Linked DNA regions of Tribolium castaneum. Each later gene encodes a partner of the first gene's protein in a complex. Links are inferred from orthologs where the notes say so. Each region holds a gene or a part of one and is shown in the gene's direction. Other genes may lie near its edges.

Region 1 (3,731 bases):
AAACGCGAAAATGTCTCCGGGGATTTGAACCGAATCCGGAACGCAATCCAGGCTGAGGAAAAGTCGCACAATGGGAAATTCGTCGACTTGTTCCGGGTGAAGAGCAACCGGAAGGCCGTTTTCATCATCGGGGGGCTCCGGGGCTTCCAGCAATTGGCGGGGACCACGGCTATTGCCTTCTACACCCATGAGATTTTCCAAACTGCTGGGGACCACATTTCCGCACATTACGCTGTGATGATTTACTACTCCATCCAGTTGCTCCTCACAATGTTCTCCTCGAGTATTGTGGATAAGGCCGGTCGAAGACCACTGTTGATCATCTCAATGGCGGGGTCGGCGTTAGCCCTTTTTGTCGAAGGGACCTATTTTTATCTTTTGAACGAAACGGACATTGATACGAGCTCATTTTCGATCGTGGCCGTTGTGGGGCTTCTAGCTTTTGTGATAATTTTCAGTTTAGGGATGCAGTCAATCCCGATTTGTATGTTAGGGGAGTTGTTTCCCACAAATGTGAAAGCTTTTGCGCTTTGTTTGGCCGATGTTTACTTCAGTGTGATGGCCACAGTGGCCTCCAAGTACTTACAAATAACTAAAGTAGAATACGGACTACATGTCTCGTTTTACGGTTTCGGGATTTGTTCGCTACTTGGACTAGTTTTTATTTATTTCTTTGTGCCTGAAACGAAAGGAAAAACCCTCGAAGACATCCAGAAAAAACTGAGAGGGGAAGTCGAAGTTTGTGATGAACGAGGCGCCGAAGAAGAGAAAGTTAGTCTCAAAGCGTAATTTTATTGAATAAAGTACTTATTTTTTTACAATTTCGAATTTTATTGCATAACCAGATTGACATTATTATTGACACCGTTGACAGTAAATATAACCTTAAAGTTGCAAACACCACACAAAAACAGTCCTAGCGTGATTTAATCAAAAATTAATTAAAAAAGCGTGAATACGATGGAAGCGGACGATGAACCTGCCATGAAAAAGCCCAAGTTCGAGGAGCCCCAAGCCAAATCAAACTCCTCACAACGTAAGTACACATAACCTCGAAAACGCAACTGAAACGTTCAATTTTAGCCGAAATTGAGCCCCCTTCTGACAATTCGGACCGGAAAGGTACAAAAATCAATCGATTAAAGCGCCCTGTTCTATTATTGTCTATTCCAGGTGGGAAGCCCCAAACGCATCGACTGTGCCCCTATTTGGACACAATCAACCGGCAATATCTCGACTTTGATTTCGAAAAATTGTGCTCAGTGTCGTTGACTCGCATCAACGTTTATGCCTGTCTTGTTTGCGGAAAATATTTCCAAGGTAGAGGCACAAACACACATGCTTATACGCATTCGGTGGCCGAAGGCCACCACGTTTTCCTCAACTTGCACACCTTGAAGTTTTACTGCTTGCCCGACAATTATGAAATAATAGGTAATAAATACTCTCAATTGTAGTTTTGAAATTAAGTTGGCAACATTTTTCTTCAAATTTCAACAATTTTACCCAACTCACTTGATTCGAGCTGAAGTTTTACACCGAATTAGATTAAATCGTTTCAATAACGCGAATGTTTGAGAGGGCGCAATGCCAGTAACGCCCCCCTTCAAAAATAAAGTGAAATCTTCGTTTTGTCGCATTTTTCCGATTGGCATTTTATTGAATATCGTTTTGTATGCGTTTTCAACCGAAACTAACTCGAATTAAACCGAGTAATCGTGGAAAAAATACAAAAATGACTAACCTTAGCGTCGTCTAACTGAATTTTTTCAAAACCGGCTTCCAGCTTGCTGCTAACACACTTTGATAGTCTACACACGTCACATTTCCGATAAAAAGTCGATTTGAGTCGTTTTTGCCACTTAACACGCACAAAACACCGGTTTTTCAACACGCAAAAGCAAAAGGACGCGCACTTCGGCAGACAAGCTTCACTCTAACGCTGATGTCACGCCAACGGCACCTCATTGGCTGATTTGAAAATGACACTTGAGCGCGCGTGATTTGAAATTCGCGCGAAGTCTTCAATTGGGAGACTTTTTACAAAGATTAGGATTTATACGTTTTTACAATGTCATAATTCACGAATTTTGTAAAATAAATGCCTGTTTAGCTCAAAAACATGCATAATGGCTTAAAAAAAAAGGAAAAATGAGATAATTTGTGGCCTGATTTGGTAATTTTGCGGCTTGTTTGGCATTTCTGCCTGAAATAACAAGTTGGGATCTTCGGAAAAGACAAACATTATGTAATTATTGAATCCGTTTGGTGGTTTTTCGGTTAATTTTTGTGTTTTTTGTCTATTTTCGATAATCGTGTTGTCAATTTCTGAATTGAAAAAAGCAAATACTAGGAAATGTTCGGGGAAGTATTCGGTTTCAGTAATCAGTGTTGCCACTTAATTTCAAGCTCCAACGATTTTTTTCTAACAAAATTAAATTACTCACAGATTCGTCCCTCGACGACATTAAATACCTGCTCAACCCCACATTTACCGAACAACACATCAGTACATTGGACGTTAGCACAAAAATGTCCCGAGCAATTGATGGCCTACTTTACATGCCAGGAATCGTCGGTTTAAACAACATAAAAGCGAACGATTACTGTAATGTTGTTTTACAAGCCCTTTCACGTGTTGTCCCTTTACGTAATTACTTCCTCCGTGAGGAGAACTACAGCAAGATAAAACGCCCCCCAGGTGACTCCTCTTACCTCCTGGTGCAACGTTACGGTGAACTGATGCGTAAATTATGGAACCCCCGAAATTTCAAAGCCCACGTTTCGCCGCACGAAATGCTCCAAGCTGTGGTTTTGTGGAGCAAAAAGCGCTTCCAAATTACGGCACAAGGCGACCCCATTGATTTCCTTTCGTGGTTTTTGAACGCACTTCATCGGGCACTTAACGGCAATAAAAAGAAAAACAGTTCCATCATTTACCAGTCATTCCTCGGAAACATGAAAATTTACACCAGGAAAATACCACCGACCGAGCTTGACGACAGACAGAAACGCATGCTTTTGTCAACTCCAGAGTACCAGGAGATCATCACCGAGTCACCCTTCTTGTACCTCACCTGCGACTTGCCTCCACCGCCTCTCTTCATCGACGAGTTCCGGGAGAATATCATCCCCCAGGTGAACTTGTACCAGCTCCTCACCAAGTTCAACGGACAGACCGAGAAGGAGTACAAGACTTACAAGGAGAATTTCCTCAAGAAGTTTGAGATTACGCGTTTGCCGCCTTATTTAATCTTGTATATTAAGAGGTTTACGAAGAACACGTTCTACGTGGAGAAGAATCCAACCATTGTGAATTTTCCGGTTAGGAATGTTGATTTTGGCGAGTTTTTGACGCCCGAAGTTAAGGCCAAACATAAACATACGGTCTATGATCTAGTGGCGAATATTGTGCATGATGGAGAGCCGGGGAAAGGCACTTACAGGGTTCATATTTTGCAAAAATCAACGGGCAAGTGGTACGAGATGCAGGACTTGCATGTGACGGATATTTTGCCGCAGATGATTACGCTGACGGAGGCTTATATACAAATTTATGAGCTAAGATTAGAAAAGTAATTTTTTACGAATAAAATTCTATCACCGGAATTTTTGTCTTTTATTTGTCCCTCCCTGATTTTTTTCTGTAATGAAACGTTTAGTCCAGAGAGCGGTTTGTTTTTGGCCTGATTTGGTCAAAAAGCTTTTGAGAAATCAGTCAAATCTTTAGT
Region 2 (2,534 bases), on another chromosome or scaffold:
CGCACAAACCTTGCGAATTAACTGACTGAGTTGCCCCCCGTATCTAAGTGACTTGATAACTGCGTAACGAAAATTACGTTAAGTTATGATTTAATAAAACATGATAAGAACTGATAGTGATAAGGACGTCTAAGAAGACTGCAAAATCCAGCACAAAAATAAAATTAAATTCGTTGCTCTTGTTTTTATTTAACTTTAGTCACCGTTGGTGAAGTCCCTGATCGGGAATCCCCACAACCCAGAGATAAAAACCATAACAAGAAGATAAAGTCATAGACCCCACAGGTCACCGTATATAAATGCAGAAGTTTATCATCTCGAAGGTTACTCGTGTTGTTCCATTAAAGGACGTGCTAATTAAATAAATAATTTTAATTTTGCATACAAGGCAAAGTTGAATATGGGACGAAAGTTCGTGATTATTTTCTCAATTTTGCACCAAATTCTGGCTCGAACAGGTAAAACCACCGCTCAAACCCCATCCATTGCTAAATGAGGTGTTTCCAGAGTCAAACTTGCCGGCAGTGTGCCCCGAAATCGTGAGTCGCACTAGATGGGGGGCTCGCACTGCTTTGGAAGTGGATTACGCCCTAATCCCTGTCGAAAACGTGGTCGTGCACCACACGGTGACCAACACTTGCAGCACTGAGGAAGAATGTGCGGCGATTTTGCGAAACATTCAGAATTTTCACATGGAAAATCTAGATTTTCACGATATTGGATACAAGTAAATTTGATGATTTTTGTTTTTTTTTTTTTAATTATGGTTTAGTTTTTTAGTGGGTGGTGACGGCCAGATTTACGAGGGCGCAGGTTGGCACAAAGTGGGGGCGCACACACGTGGGTACAACTCCCGGTCTTTGGGGCTCGGTTTCATCGGCAATTACACGAGTAGGTTGTTTTTCGTGTTATTTTCGTACTTTACGAGCCTTTTATTACAGCTCAACTTCCAAATAAAAAGCAGATACAAGCCGCTAAAGATTTTCTCCAATGCGGGGTTGAGTTGGGAGAGTTGGGCAAAAGTTTCAAACTGTTTGGGGCCCGCCAAGTCAGCGCGACGGAAAGTCCGGGCCTAAAGCTGTACCGCGAACTACAGAACTGGCCGCACTTTACCAGGTCCCCGCCGAAATAAACTGTATTCTAGTTTTTAAAATAAAATTATTATAAAGCATACGATTTTGAATTTAAATATGGCGCCCATTAGTCGCAAGTTTGAGGTTATGTTGTTTTGATTATTCGAGGTTAGGGAACTAAAAACCGTAAAAATGCCGAATTGGGACCAAATTCAAGCCCAGTTGAAGCACCCAGCGAACCCGGTCGTGTTTTTCGACATTTCCGTCGGAACTACGGTACCAATAACCCAAAATTTCCGAAAACTGTATTTTTCGATTACAGGAAATCGGCCGAATGATTTTCGAGTTATTCGCAGACGCGGTCCCCAAAACCAGCGATAATTTCCGCCAGTTTTGCACCGGCGAGTTCCGCAAAGACGGCGTGCCGTTGGGCTACAAGGGGGCTAGTTTCCACCGAGTTATCAAGGACTTTATGATCCAAGGGGGCGACTTCGTCAATGTAAAAATCACGGGATGCGATTCCGCAACTAATTAATATTTTTAGGGCGATGGGACCGGCGTTATGAGTATATATGGGGGCGGAACGTTTCCCGACGAAAATTTTAACCTAAGACATGACGGTCCTGGACTTCTATCAATGGCAAACAGCGGCAAAGACACCAACGGTTGCCAGTTTTTCATAACTTGTGCAAAGTGTAATTTCCTGGACGGCAAACATGTGGTGTTTGGACGCGTTATTGACGGACTTCTCGTCATGCGGAAAATCGAAAACGTGCCCACGGGGCCCAACAATAAGCCCAAAATCCCGGTCACAATTGTACAATGTGGCCAAATGTAGTAGTGTAATTCAAATTTTAATAATAAAAGCACAAAATAAAACTTAGTTTAAATTTTTATTTTGTCAGGTTGGTGGTCCCATAACCTCACTTGTCAAAAACGTAAATAATCGTGAAATGGAAAATAAAAAAATATCGTTCGGTTTCAGCAAAATTAGTAAAAAGACCGAAATCAGGTCAAGTGTTCCGAAACCCGAAAATAAGATACAGCTAATTGACTGTTTAGAGGGTCAATCAATTAAAATAAAAGGGTATGTTTCGTTTTTGAGGTTATGTTATTTTTGCCAAAAACCTCATTTTAGTGCCGTTGAGGAGACAAATGAGCCGTTGGTGATACCAATCCAAGGCCCATCAAACAAATTAATAGACCAAATAAAAAAAGCGAGGGAAAAACACGTCAAACCTGAAGTTAAAGAAGAGACAGGGGAGGCAAATTCTGTGCCAGACTCTGCCCTATCTCTTGACGAATTAGCGGCAAGAGAGTTAATCCGAGGTACTTACCCTATGTTTCAAGTGATTTTCTAGTGTGAATAAAATTTTCAGAGGCACAGACTCGCAACACTGTACAAAGCGAGACAAAAGTCTACTCCTTGCCTTTAAATGACGACAAGTTTGTGGCAGAGGG

What was found. The genes of interacting proteins can lie anywhere in the genome.
Region 2: Usp39 (region 1) and peptidyl-prolyl cis-trans isomerase H share a complex: the UniProt entries of both Homo sapiens proteins name them as parts of the U4/U6-U5 tri-snRNP complex. The link is inferred for Tribolium castaneum from reciprocal best matches to the Homo sapiens genes USP39 and PPIH.

Annotation. Positions count from the first base shown.
Region 1 is NC_087394.1:36,569,756-36,573,486, reverse strand, and holds Usp39 (ubiquitin carboxyl-terminal hydrolase 39), read left to right. Parts: upstream 1-816; 5' UTR 817-960; coding exon 961-1,036; intron 1,037-1,083; coding exon 1,084-1,122; intron 1,123-1,173; coding exon 1,174-1,434; intron 1,435-1,744; exon of another isoform or gene 1,745-1,988; intron 1,989-2,449; coding exon 2,450-3,579; 3' UTR 3,580-3,609; downstream 3,610-3,731. Other genes in the region: facilitated trehalose transporter Tret1, read left to right, coding at 1-789.
Region 2 is NC_087395.1:17,966,510-17,969,043, reverse strand, and holds peptidyl-prolyl cis-trans isomerase H, read left to right. Parts: upstream 1-1,186; 5' UTR 1,187-1,265; coding exon 1,266-1,349; intron 1,350-1,395; coding exon 1,396-1,572; intron 1,573-1,617; coding exon 1,618-1,911; 3' UTR 1,912-1,956; downstream 1,957-2,534. Other genes in the region: peptidoglycan-recognition protein 2, read left to right, coding at 401-458, 508-727, 773-891, 942-1,132; G-patch domain and KOW motifs-containing protein, read left to right, coding at 2,027-2,160, 2,212-2,402, 2,453-2,534. UniProt on the Homo sapiens protein: PPIase that catalyzes the cis-trans isomerization of proline imidic peptide bonds in oligopeptides and may therefore assist protein folding. Participates in pre-mRNA splicing.